Linked DNA regions of Arabidopsis thaliana. The protein of the gene in region 2 interacts with the protein of the main gene of each other region in a pairwise test. Each region holds a gene or a part of one and is shown on either strand. Other genes may lie near its edges.

Evidence for each region.
Region 1: the proteins of MAPR2 (region 2) and AT1G43080 interact in a protein complementation assay, tested with the Arabidopsis thaliana proteins (one large-scale study listed by BioGRID).
Region 3: the proteins of MAPR2 (region 2) and AT2G25890 interact in a protein complementation assay, tested with the Arabidopsis thaliana proteins (one large-scale study listed by BioGRID).
Region 4: the proteins of MAPR2 (region 2) and AT3G08600 interact in a protein complementation assay, tested with the Arabidopsis thaliana proteins (one large-scale study listed by BioGRID).

What each region holds. Positions count from the first base shown.
Region 1 is NC_003070.9:16,213,451-16,217,705, forward strand, and holds AT1G43080 (Pectin lyase-like superfamily protein), read right to left. Parts: upstream 2,379-4,255; coding exon 2,235-2,378; intron 1,920-2,234; coding exon 1,608-1,919; intron 1,396-1,607; coding exon 871-1,395; intron 779-870; coding exon 545-778; downstream 1-544. Other genes in the region: AT1G43090 (Pectin lyase-like superfamily protein), read right to left, coding at 3,747-4,100, 4,193-4,255.
Region 2 is NC_003071.7:10,607,606-10,610,440, reverse strand, and holds MAPR2 (membrane-associated progesterone binding protein 2), read right to left. Parts: upstream 1,025-2,835; 5' UTR 995-1,024; coding exon 692-994; 3' UTR 541-691; downstream 1-540.
Region 3 is NC_003071.7:11,035,643-11,038,731, forward strand, and holds AT2G25890 (Oleosin family protein), read left to right. Parts: upstream 1-1,660; 5' UTR 1,661-1,717; coding exon 1,718-2,242; 3' UTR 2,243-2,537; downstream 2,538-3,089. Other genes in the region: AUR2 (ataurora2), read right to left, coding at 1-92, 174-269, 366-512, 603-710, 1,156-1,368.
Region 4 is NC_003074.8:2,610,432-2,614,587, forward strand, and holds AT3G08600 (transmembrane protein, putative (DUF1191)), read left to right. Parts: upstream 1-1,743; 5' UTR 1,744-2,214; coding exon 2,215-3,165; 3' UTR 3,166-3,587; downstream 3,588-4,156. Other genes in the region: iPGAM2 (Phosphoglycerate mutase, 2,3-bisphosphoglycerate-independent), read right to left, coding at 1-184, 268-546, 642-806.

The DNA.
Region 1 (4,255 bases), on a different chromosome or scaffold from region 2:
TATGCATGATTCCCTTCTGTTTTAGGAGTTCTTAATGCTATTTTCTTTCTGATCAATTGAAAATTGATTTCAGACTTTCTCCACCTAATAAGTGTTTGATGAAATGTCTGAACCAACTAATTTCAGAGATTTGTAGACTCTAGCCCAAGACATTGGATGTTTAGACTGCTTATTGATTTTAATAGATTGGTGTTTAAAGCCTGCTTTATTATGTTTCATCAATGAAAGTTGAGATTAGGAAGTGATAAAGTTATGAGGATCATTGTCATGAAAGTGGATTGATCTGGTTTTGAATCTATTGTCTAGGGATAGCTTGATTTAGTTTGTTAGTTAGCTAATGGATTCAGAAGTTAAAAATTTAACCGTTCTGTCGTAGATTTGTTTTGTTGTAGAAAGAACTATTCATTAAGAATTTGTATGTGTGATCATGATATCATATAAACAAGAACATAAAACATAAAATATATACAAAAATTAGGCAATAATATGTAACTAAAAATATCATGTATAACTCAAAAGGTTATTTTTTCGATGGACCATTGAGTCAATCTAGACAATGTTGAGGAACCATCTTACTACGTACAGAACCGTCAACATTCTCGCACATCGCTGTGGAATGACCTTTCTCGAGTCCAGTATGCTTTAGGTTAATATCAATTAGTTCAACATTCTTGCACGGAAAGCTCTTGCTACATTGTAGATTCACTGCCACTATGTTATTCGACGTTCCATATATGTTTTTTAACTTAATGTCTTGGATCTGAACGTGAGACTCACCCTGAACAAGGAAACACAAGTTGTCTTTTGTTTTATATTTCATTGTGATTGAAGAAAAAAATAACCAAGCTTGTTCATGCATATAATGTTAACCTTTTTTTCATGTTCACAAGGTGGGTGAGGGCAATACTTCTGATCAATGTTGATCGGTTTTCCAACGTCAATCATCTGAATATTCTCGTATATGAAGTTAGAAACTACGATTTTTGAAGCCGAAGATTCCCAAGTCTTGATCCGAATACCATCGCTTGTGCCGTTGAAAACTGTGTCTCTTACCGTTAAGTGCTTTACGTCTTTCTCGTCTTTGTTCTTCCCTAAGCTTCCAACACTGATCCCATGTCCAGGACCACACTTGATGTTAGAGATATCAAGGTTAGTGGTCCCAGAGAGAATGGCAATACAATCATCTCCGGTACCGATGTTTGTGTTTGAGATGTGAATGTTGCTACAAGAACCCATTTTGATACCGTCAGTATTTGGGCTATCACCGGGAGCTGTTATAGTGACGCCGGTAATGTTGAAGCGATGGACAGAGAAGAAGTTAAAGTGTCCCATTTTGCTGTTGAGTGATGTTATGTCTTTGATTCTTGAGTTGTTCACGAATGCAAATCCCATAGTCTGTAAACATTTCAAATTTTATCATATCACTAGAAACAAAGAGTAGATACTTCAATTCATTTGTATATAATAAATATATATGGTTAAAAAATAAATGATCAAAATATACTTGTTACCATTGTATAATACAGTTTCAATGTAAACAATATATAATCATATTTTCTCAAACAAGAAATATATTATAAAAAGAAAAGCTTAAGAAGAAACGGTACCATAGCTAGTTTAGGACAATTAGTGTTTTTGTGGCAGTCATTGAGTGGCCAAGAGTATTTTCCTTGGCCGTCAAGTGTACCGGAACCGGAGATAGAGAGATTGTTGATGTACCGGAAGTTGATCCATGTGTCCTGCTTAATGTCCCTAGGGTTTGCAGGAGCCAATAAAGTTCCATCGATGACAAATTCAATAGGATTTTTGCATGGACCCACAAACTCTACACCACCGAGATAGAATGTTCCTTTCGGTACGTAGATTTTACTACTTCCACTTATCCTTGTGCATGCACGTTTCCATACACTTGTGAATGCCTAATTTTGTATATGTTAAGAATAAGATAGGTTAATTATTAAACAAAAAAATCCATAGAAGTTGATAAAAGATTTAGTTAAATTTAATTGGTTAATATAATACCAATCCATATATTGTTATGTAGAAAGTCAAGAAGATTTATATATACTATCATATCAAAATGTTTTTTCAACATATATTATTAGATTATTTAAATGTATTTTGATATTGAGTTGAGCTTATTTCAATGTATTTGGAAGCCAATATAAATTGGGAATCAACAAAACTAAATAAATAACTATTAACATTGATTAGAAAAGTTATTGTGTACATACATTGGCATTATCAGTTTTTCCGTCTGGTCTAGAACCATAGCGTCGGACGTTGAAAACCTTTGGTCTGATAGTCGGACGACTTGCAACAGCAATGAACAAGAAAGACAAACACAAAGCTTTAAACGTAGAAGCGATGGAGACCATCTTATTCTTTTGTTTGGGTATATGGAGATATAACAAAAAGGTGCTGTTTAATAATAGTTGTTCTTATAGTGTAAGACACAATGAGAAGTGTTCGCACATTTTATCTATTTATATAGAGTTAACATGTCTCAACAGACTGTTAAAAGCACTTGATTATTGTTATCAGTTAACTACTAAATATGGGCGGCTTCTTTATAATGATCGTGATTGGTTAATATACTGTTATGATGATTTTTTGAGTGTATATTGTTTAGTTTTTAATCTCTTCATTAAAACAGAATCTTAATTTTGGGAAATGTGCCAATAAGATTACCTATAATTTGTTTCTTTTTTTAATGGGTTTTAATTTAAATTGCATAAAACCAAAATGTTTTCGAAATGATTTCTTTGTGGATTTTATTTTTATTTTGATGGATACTAAACTTTAGTATTTACATTATTTTGTAAACTTGTATTTATTCAAAATTTTCATAAGATATAACGATTAAATTGCTACACGCATTTGCATGCCTAAAATTGCATATCTCCATTACTCTACTTGATGTTTTTTATTCATAAATCACAACATGCTAGTAAAATGAATATATAATTACTTACTAGATTAAATAATTAATGAAAATTTTCACTTTCTTAATATCATAAAAAACAAATTGCGGTCTCTAAACGAAAAGTACAAGAAAATACAAAGGTGATAATAAAAATTTCAAATTGTTTCTATGTGAACAATCAAAATGTTTCTTAATTATATTCTTCTTCTTCATCTTTTTCGGCAATCTCGATGTCTCTCTGATCTGTCAGTCAAGGTCCTTCTTGGCGATTTAGTAAGTAGGTGATGGAAGTCGTTGCCCTTCCGGTGTAAAATTCTCCTTGCGATGTACGACGGCATTTTGTGAACTTTGCGTTGCCTAAACACATGATATACATTATTGTGTCATGCTATTTGCCAATATTTTGGGTAATGGAGGAGGCTCGAGCTTTGATTTTTAATTCACAAAAACTTATGACATCAATAAATAATTTAAATATAGGGAAATTTTCTAATAGCACATTTAAATTAAAAACACTTATAAATAGTTTTTAATTAAACATATTTTTATAAGTAAGTATGAGAAGAAAAAGATAATAGTTTTTCAATTGTTTATTAGAATTATATAAACATTTAAATTAAAATTATTTAATAAAAGTTACAATAAACCGAACAAACCTTAAAAGATATTTATTGAGATTTTCCTTATTAGTTTGATTCTAGTAAAGTGTAATTGTTACTAAGTATGATGGTAAAATTATTGGAAGTTAAACATTTAACCGTTCTTTCTTAGATTTGTTTTGTTGTAGAATGAACTATTCATTAAGAATTTGTATGTGTGATCATGATATCATATAAACAAGAACATAAAACATAAAATATATACAAAAATTAGGCAATAATATGTAACTAAAAATATCATGTATAACCCAAAAGGTTATTTTTTCGATGGACCATTGAGTCAATCTAGACAATGTTGAGGAACCATTCTTACCACGTACAGAACCGTCAACATTCTCGCACATCGCTGTGGAATGACCTTTCTCGAGTCCAGTATGCTTTAGGTTAATATCAATTAGTTCAACATTCTTGCACGGAAAGCTCTTGCTACATTGTAGATTCACTGCCACTATGTTATTCGACGTTCCATATATGTTTTTTAACTTAATGTCTTGGATCTGAACGTGAGACTTACCCTGAACAAGGAAACACAAGTTGTCTTTTGTTTTATATTTCATTGTAATTGAAGAAAAAAATAACCAAGCTTGTTCATGCATATAATGTTAACCTTTTTTTCATGTTCACAAGGTGGGTGAGGGCAATACTTCTGATCAATGTTGATCGGTTTTCC
Region 2 (2,835 bases):
CGACACAAGTCAACTCGAGCCAAGAACAACTCTACCCATGAACAGCTCTCCCTCAAACCTAAGACTTGGCGTTAAAGCAACATATTAGTCGCAAGAACGCCATGCCGAACAGGGCCGAAGTCATACAAGTGATGATAATAATTTAGACCGGGAGAAGTAAGAAAGAATCAAAGAAGACACACATTAGCTTCTATGAATTCTGAATGTTCATCATAACTATATTCTTCCAAATCTCATAACGCAAAAGACTAAAATTAACAACAACTTGGAACTTGTAAGATAATTTACACCGAATCCAAAACTACCAGTAAGTTTGGTGTTGCTCAGATTTCAGAAACCATCAGTTTTTCTTTCACCAGACACAATTAGCTCCAAGTATTTGCAAGATATGAAAGACACAAACCAATCTTTATATCCTCTCATCAAATACATATGAGACTTAAAACTCCTAAAATCCTAATCATCACAACAAAGTAACCTTTTTTTTTTGGTAAGCACAACAAAGTAACCTTAAGATCAGAATATGAAGACCACTGAGAACACGAAATCCCCGATTTATTTCATAGATAATTTGGTACTTATGGTAATTGTATCAAAACGATCAGATCCAAACACGAAATCAGAAAACACACAACACAAAGATCCTCACACACAATAGTTACATAACATAGTGCAATCTCAGAAGAGAGACCTAAGAGACAACACGGCCAACGACAGGATACTTAGCTTCAAATTTGGTCTCCCAATCATTAAGAGTATTGATCTCTTTCTCAGTGAGACCTTCAAGAGAAGGAGACACATCTTCTTCGTTCTTACTCATCTTACCCAAAGCTCTGCTCGCGTCTTTTCCGGCGAACATCGAGTAATCGCCTCCGGAGCCGTAGAAGGATTTTCCGGTGGTGACATCGAACACACGGCCTTTGATTGCGACGTAGATCGGCTTTGATTCGTCGGTGCCGTTGTATTGGCTTAGCTGCTCTGCGGTGAATTCCATCTTTTTCTTTAAAGCTCTGATCAATTGTTTCTGGAAAGAACCAAATAAAAGATAGTGAGAGATATATAACAGAGGATTTTTTTAAAAAAATTATAACTGAATAACTTTTTTTTAATAAGTGGAACAACTTTTTTTGTGTCGGTAATAAGTGGAGTAAACTTTATTCTTCAGATTTTTACAAGGAATATCAAAAAATATTTTATTTTTCTCTAATTAAAGTCGATAAAAATTCCAGAAATGCTTAATCTTTCAAGGAGCTTAATTTAAGCTGCTTAAACAACTTCGTCGGGTTTAAAGGACGGCTTTGGGAAAAGACAATTTAATTTGAACTAATTCCTAAGATAGAACACATTTGTATGTTTATTCCTACAGTAGAACACATCTTTTTTTTATTACTCAGATGTTTTCAGTTATTGTGTAATTACAATTAACACCCCTAATTAGTTTTAATTAATTATTATTATTTAATTCGTTTTTAACTAAAAATTAAATGAAAAAACAGTGATTATACATGTCATTATTCCATGTCATTACCATAATCCACGTCATTAATTATCTCCAAACTCCATAACGTTTGGGTTTCTTATTTCTTAGCTTTACTGTTCATCATCTCCCAAAAAAAAAAAAAACTGTCGCTTTCTTCCACTTTCTCTCTCGACGGAACGAAATCGATTTCTTTCGCCGTTTTGCTCTTTTCTCGTCTGTTCCGGCCGAAATTCAGACGCCGGAGTCGCATTTACGTAAGCGCGAAGTCACATTCGACATCTAAGTTCCGGTGAGTATCTTTCAATGAAGTAAGACTCTGACATCTAAGTTCAATCTCAAGTGATTCCCGTCACTGAAATCGTTTTCCGATGCGTAACGATGGTTTTTAAAGCTGGGTTTTAACGTCGACGTTGATTGACATATGGTGGCCGATTTCTTAGATCTATTTGATTTGACGGCTGAGTTACTGTTTGTTTGCCGACTGATTTATGATTTATCAATTCATCCGTGTCTGAGTTTTTTTTATGCTGTGACTGAGTTATGGTTTAACCTTACATCGATGTCTGAGTTTCTGTTATATGACGGCTGAGTTTGTTTATGTTATGGCTGAGTTTCTGTTTTGATATAGCTGAGTCTGGTTTATGTTTTAACTGAGCTGTTGTTATGTTATGGTTTGACTGAGTTTCTGTTAAAATATGGCTGAGTTAGATTTATCTTATGGCTGAGTTATGTTATGTGTGGCTGAGATAGGTTTATGTTATGACTGAGTTATGTTATCTATGGCTGAGATAGGTTTATGTTATGACTGAGTTATGTTATCTATGGCTGAGTTAGATTTATGTTTTGCCTGAGTTATGGTATCTGTGGATGAGTTTGTTTTATGTTATGACTGAGTTATGGAATGCTTACGGCTGATTTATGGTTATACAGATGTCTGAAGACCAAGCAAGGGAGTACCCTCCAAGACTTTACCAAGAGGGGGATTCTAATCTGGAGGGTAAAGGCATTAATCATAATATAAAGCTGGGAGAGTTCCCTGCAATTAGAGAATCAATAGGAGAAGAAATATGGGCAGAACTGAAAGAGACAGAGCTTGGATTAATTGCTAAGCTTGTTGATAGTCATTTTCTCTGGTCTGGTAAGACCGTACATTATCTACTATGCAGACAGCTGAGAATACTGAAGAAGGAGCTTTGGTGTATCGTGGCTGGTAAACCCATCCGGTTTGGATTGAACGAATTTCATCATATCACTGGTTTAAATATAGATGATCTGCCTACAGAAAAGTTTGAGCCTGAAGCTGACTACAAAGCGTTCTTCAGTGAATTGCGTGTGCCAACCGGTGAAGGTCCTAA
Region 3 (3,089 bases), 430 kb from region 2:
GCACCAATCAACAGATTTTCAGGTTTTATATCTCTGTGAATTACATGCTTTCCATGGCAATAGATGAGGGCTCTAGCCAATGACGCAACATACTGCCACAATAAACGTAAGGGTATGACTACACAGATTCACATTAACATGCTAGAATAAGTTCAATTATCACTAGGACTTACAGTTGCTGCTCGACGTTCGCTGAAGTACTTGCACTTCTGAAGCTCTTTATAAAGCTCACCCCTTACAGCATACTCCAAAATCAAATAAACTCTTTTCTGCAACAACGGTATCCCAAAAACTATGTTAACCTCACAGAGCCAAACATTGTATGTCAACAAGAAGTTCTTTTACAAGCACAGATAACACAAAACCTGATCATAGAAGTAACCGTAGAGCCGCAGAATATTGGGATGCCGAAGATGAGATTGAATCTCTACTTCCCTTCGTAACTGGTGTTCAACTTGAGATTGTTGAAGCTGAGCCTTAAAAAGAACCTTTAAAGCCACAATGTGATCGCTCTGTTTGCAAAGACACATAGAAGACAGCTTGGTTAAAAAAGACATCAAATTAATTCTGCTTGTTTAACATAATTGTGAAGAAACACTAACCCGTTTCTCTCTTGCTAGATAAACATGGCCAAACTTTCCTCTACCAAGTGGCTTTCCGATATCGAAATCGCTTGTAGTCCATCTCTTTTGTGCAGCCTCTGAAGCCGCCTGATACAACATTATCACAAAGATTGAAATCCAATCAACTCTCAGATACACTTAATCATAAACGACAAACAATCATTGATACTTTAAAACTTGAAGATAAAAGGATAAAATCAACAGCTCCTTAACACTAATCCACGGATTTGTCAATTAATCTAGGGTCCTCGCTGTAAACGAATAAATCCACAATCATATCATGAAATTTCTCAAAATCATACCAACAAGTCTTTCTCAAATTAAACAGAGAACATTGAAACAAGATTCTTTCTGGCGCAAAGAAAATCAAGCAACCAAATCGATAATCCCAGATCACATTCCATTAGAACAGACCAAACGCAGAGAAAAAACGCAAACCAACAAGGAAGTAAAACCCTAAATTGAAACAAATTCGACAAAAGAACCAAATGAAATTGGAATTTGTGAAACCAAGAACAAGTTATTTTCTTACAATTTGCTGCGTCTCTGTAGAAATCCCCATGGAAGAGATCGTTGATGAGCCAAGATAGCGAGAGAAAGAGAAGAAAGAAAGAGAGAAGAGAGAGTAATTTTCACAAAGGGAACAGATCCAAATTGAGAAATTTAAAAAGGGGAAAAAACGTAAACCACCAGCAAAGCAGCAACGGTCGAATCCAGATGCTGCCACGTGTTGATACATCTGCATCGAGGTTTTTATTTTCAAATAATTTGTCTCCCGAGATGATACAGTCGCTACAGGCCCAGATATTATTAAGCCCACGGTATTCCAACTTCATAATCACTAGGATAATATACAGTCACTACAAGCCCAGATAATAGCCCAATAAGCTTCAAGATCGTTTGACGATGAGATTTTAATTCGGAACTAAGTAACCACGTGTCAGTACCTCGTCAAAGTAGCTCCATGCAGAACTGACACGCCCGCGTGACACTCTTCTCCATTGCCTAACACGCCTCGTCGTTCGACACATGTCTCGTTTAAGTTTAGCCTCTCCTTCATACTAGTCTATTTTCATTCTTCATAATAATCACAAATGGTAAGCTTATTAAAGCTACAAAAACAACATAGAACATTAAATCCATACTCTCTTAGAAAAAGAAAAAAAGAAATGGCGGATCATCAACAACATCAGCAACAACAACAACCAATAATGAGGAGTCTCCATGAATCATCACCATCGACTCGGCAGATAGTGAGATTCGTAACGGCAGCTACGATCGGCCTATCACTCCTCGTGCTCTCAGGACTAACACTAACCGGAACGGTGATCGGTTTGATCGTAGCGACGCCGTTGATGGTTCTGTTCAGCCCGGTGTTGGTACCGGCAGTGATAACGATAGGGCTTTTGACGATGGGATTCCTATTCTCCGGTGGTTGTGGGGTGGCAGCAGCTACGGCGTTAACGTGGATTTATAAGTACGTTACCGGAAAACACCCGATGGGAGCGGATAAGGTGGATTACGCGAGGATGAGGATAGCGGAGAAAGCCAAAGAGTTGGGACATTATACGCACTCGCAGCCACAACAAACACACCAAACCACAACAACTACTCATTAGAGTTTAATAATTATATGGATCTATATGTTGTATTAAGTTTTATGATTATCCTACGTATGTTTTTTTAATACTGTTCTTACCTTTTTGAAAAGATCTATCTAAAATTTTATTTTCTATTTTCCATACAATTTTTTGTGTGTTTAATTGCTGATCGGTATTTTCTGTTTTATGATTGTGAAATAGCTAGTGTAAGGAAAGATGATAACGAATTAAGTAAATTAATAAATGCCAATTACTTGGTCACCGTCTGGCTTCTAGAATTATATGGTGGCTTTCTTGGTATATGTAAATGTAGTTTTGAGTGTGGTCCGTTTGATTTGAAATAATATTGTTGTTTTTATGTTCAAAAAGAAAATTGCAAGGTTTGTGAATTTTGTGTATCAATACCAAGGCTTGAACCACTTTATCTATACTCGCTAAATAAATTTCGAAGGCTGCGCTAAATGGCTCGTGTCATTTACGTTGTCTTCATGAACGTATTGTAGTTAGTGTGATTGTAAAAATATTTCTTTGTTTAATCATTCCTCAAAAATTGTATTCGGCCTTTGAGAGATGCGGTGAGGTCGTATGCATGTTTTCCCAAATTTCGAATACTTGCAAACTGTTCTATGAATGTGGTTTTTAGGTACTCATGAAATAATTGAAAACTTTACTTGTCTATATGTTCGTAAACCATTGGCATTGAATTGCATGGCATGGCTTACTATGCGCGCACCAACAAAATGCACATGCATGCTTCACGAACGTATAAAGAAGCTGAGGGTGGACAACATTCACTGCTTGTAGTGGGCAATGCAGTCTTGTAGAGCAGTTGTACTTTCAAACGAGGTTCTTTGTCAACGTCTGA
Region 4 (4,156 bases), on a different chromosome or scaffold from region 2:
CATACATTCGACCTCCACCAGATGCAACCTGAGCATCAACACCTTTCGCACGTAAAGCAGCTAGGTCAGCTTCAAGAGTTTCAACAAATCCGACACTAGAACCATCCAAAACATCACGACCATCAGTAAGAATATGGACGCGGATTCTCTTAGCACCACGTTCTGCAAAACCCTTAAGCAGCAACTGCACCAAACAGAACCAAATTAAAGAAAATTAACAAACGCCAACGTTTCAAAAGAAATGTGTAACAGATGAGAATTAAGTACCTGGACTTGATCCAAACGAGAGTGAACTCCACCATCGCTTAGAAGACCAATAAGGTGCACAGTGCCTTTCTCAAAAGATTGAGAGATGTATTTGAAACCTTCATCTTCATAGATTTTCCCTGAAGCAAGGGCGAGATCAACAAGCTTAGCACCTTGAGCGTAAATTCGACCAGCTCCAAGAGCATTGTGGCCAACTTCACTGTTTCCCATGTCGTCTTCGCTGGGGAGACCAACGGCGGTACCATGAGCTTTGATCAACCTCCATGTGTCGGGCTTCCCCTGTGAAGAATAAAATCGAACCGTTGAAGTCCATAATCGGAATCCAGCGAAATCATCGAGGAAAGAAGTGGATATAAACAAAAAAGGAAACATACGTCTTTAAGGGAATCCATGGCAGGAGTTGGAGCTTTATGGATGCAATTGTATTGATCGGGATCAGATTCACCCCATCCATCGAGAACAATCAAACCGATAGTTTTGCCTTTGGGAAGCTTGGGGTGGTCCGCAAGTTTCCAGTTAACGTCGCCGGAGCTACCCATAACTGTGGATTCAGATCCACTCGTCGGTGAGAAATTAAAGGTTTAAGGAACAGATCTGAGAAGCGAGAGAGAGAGAGATAACGGAAGCTTACCAGCGGAGAAACAGAGGAAAGCTTCTCAAAGAGTCTTATGGAGATTCGCAGAGACAGAAGTGGTTATGTGGTGAAGTATGGTAGGTTGAGAGCTATCACTGACATAATATGAGACTTTTATAGAAACATAGAAATGGAAAAGTTAGCGATGACGTGGTACCAATTTAATGGGCTTTACTTTGGGCTCAAGTAAACATTGTGAAGCCCCCAAAAAAATGGAAGGAGACGAATGTTCTAGTTTTAGCTGCTATGAACGAATGTTCTGGATCATGCCGTTTGTAATAGTCATGGTGTGCGCCATGTAAAAAAAATTGTATATACCTTTTTATTTTGGTCAACGTAAAAAATAGCATACAGAAAAGGTCAAACCGGAGTTAACTTAATAGTTTATACGGTATTTGAACCAGAATTTGATCAAAAATGGGTAAGTTTTAGTAACTGGGATTACATTAATTTCTGTTGACAGTAACTTTTTTTTATCTAAATCATTATTTAAACCTTGAGATTGCATTAAATCAAACTGAAATTACACGAAAACCAAACCGAAAACTCATGTAAGAAATTCAGGGTTGTGCACATTTATTTATTCAATATCATCATAATATTAACTGGGAACCTTCAAAAGGTTGGTAGAAGGCTAAAAAACAATTTCTAATGGGCCAAAGACAAAAAGTTGAGTTCCTATATATTGGGCTTAAAAAGCCTGAAACTAGATGAGACGTGGTTCATAGTCAGATAAATGGGCCAAGGATAAGGAAAGACAAAAACAAAAGTAGAAAAGAATCATACAGTATACATATATGGGAAATATACAGAGAGAGATACAGATAACACAATAAGAGGTAGACGGACAACTGTTACGGCGAAATTGAATGCCGCAATGTATCAATATGATTGGTCGAAAAGGAAAGTAAAAAAAACAAACAAAATATTAAATTTTTGTTAATGTGTAAAGGGAGAAAAAATCAGATGAACAGGCTGTATCATTTTTTTTTTTGTGAACAAATGGGACTGACGACAACACTCTTCTTCTCCTTTTTGTCCTTTTGGCTCTCTCCTTCTCTCCTTTCTCTCTCTCTCTCTTTTCCACCGGCGACCATTCATTCTCTCTCCTCCTCCTCCTCCTCCTCCTCCTCAGCTTCCTCCATTGCTCCTTAACCCTCATTCCTCGATTTGTTCTTCTCTTCACCATTTCCCCTTTTTACCCTTTTTCTACTCAGACGTGACGGCGACTTTTTATTCCTGTGTCTCCCACCTTTGACTCGCCCTGGGGGGATTTTTTTTTGCTCCAGAGGCGAAAGAAACAAAAAAAAGCAATGGGGTTTCTCCGTTGTCTCCAGCTGCTGCTGCTTCTGTTTCTATCTCTTCGTCTACAAAAGCTCTCTGCTCAATCTTCTTCACCCAATGCTTCTTCTTCTTCTTCACTCGATGCTCTTCTTCAAGATTACTCTTTTAGAGCCTTGCTTCGTCCTCGTACCGGCATTCTCTACGAGGCTACTACTGTTCCTTCCAATTTGACTGGGATCAAACTCGCTGCTATGAGACTCAGAAGCGGAAGCTTTAGAAAACGTGGAGTCACTCCTTTTAATGAGTTCTCAATTCCCAGCGGCGTTATCGTCAAGCCGTATGTGACAAGGCTTGTTTTGGTTTATCAAAACCTAGCTAATTTCTCTCACTTGTATTACCCTTTGTCTGGTTATGATTATGTCGCTCCTGTCTTGGGTCTTCTCGCTTACGATGCTAAGAATCTCTCTGCGCTTAATTTGCCTCAGCTTGATTTAAGGGTGTCTAATGATCCTATCAGAATCGATTTCTCTGATCTGGAACGAATCCCGCAAGGGTCTAGTGCTAAGTGTGTTAGATTCGATTCTAAAGGTGAAGCGAGTTTCAGCGATTCGATTCAGCCTGGAAACACATGCGAGACTGAGCATCAGGGACATTTCTCTGTGGTGGTGAAATCTGTGGCTTCTGCTCCGAGTCTAGCTCCTCCTGGGATTGAGAGTAAGAAGAAGAAGAAGAGCTCTGATTCCAATTCCAAGACTTGGATCATTGTTGGGTCGGTGGTTGGTGGATTGATACTGTTGGGGCTTTTACTGTTTCTGGTTTTGAGATGTCGAAATTACAAGAAGCAAGAGAAAATGAGGGAGATGGAGAGAGCTGGAGAGACAGGGGAAGCTCTGAGGATGACTCAGGTTGGTGAAACAAGAGCACCAACTGCTACTACGACTCGTACACAACCAATGCTTGAAACCGAATACGCAGCTTAGGATACTTTTGTGTACATCATCATCATCATCACATCTTCTTGATCATCTGTTACTGTCTTTTTCTTTTTTTCTTCTACAATTATTCTTCTTTTGGTAAAGTGTTTCTTTTTCTGATTATTTTTTCTTTGTGGTAAGCAAGTTGATACTTCCACATTCATCTTGTTTCTCTGCTGGTGATAAGGAAATAAGTAATATTGTTTTCTTCTTGTGCTCTCAAATTAACAAACTTTGGTGGTCTCTCCATGAGAATGAAAAGAGTTGGATTGTTTCTGGAGTGCACTCACTTTGTTTTCTTCTAACTACTTTTGCTGTAAAGCTTTGCCCTTTTTGTAATAATTTCAACATCTTTTTGTCTGAGAAGCAGACAGTTGAAGAAGATGTATATCATCCTATCATCCATACTCAACTTTGTTACATTGAGCTTAGCATTCTTCAAAAGGAACTAGTGTGTTCTTGAGATTTGTTGAGTTTTAACATTTTTTGCAGCTATCTGCTTCATGCAACTTGTTGACCCTCACATTTATATTAGAAGATCACCGATGAACCAATAGATTTTGGAACCAAAGAGGTTAGAATCCGGTAGGATATGTAGAAGATGATTTGCACTTGGCAATGTTACAACGTTTATGTTTACATCTAGGATTGTCTTGTTTGCTTACCTTATATGAAAAGTCATCTCGTTCATATGGATTTTTTGCATTCTACATTTTAGAAAAGCACCGTTTGCCACTTCAGGTATGTAACAATGTGCACAGCTACAAATCTTTGCACTGAACAGATTTGGAATAAAGTTTGAGTTAAAGTGAATACATGACTTGGTTAATCCTGGCTTGGGCCATCTTGTGGCCTCTTGCTCATATCAAGTAAAATGCCATGACAACAACGTTAATGGCTAAGTTAGCATTGCAGCATCTCCTCTGACTTCTGCAGATACCAGGAGATTTTTTGTCTCATCATTCCAAAATCTTAAGGTTGAAAAAGAGATGAAGTA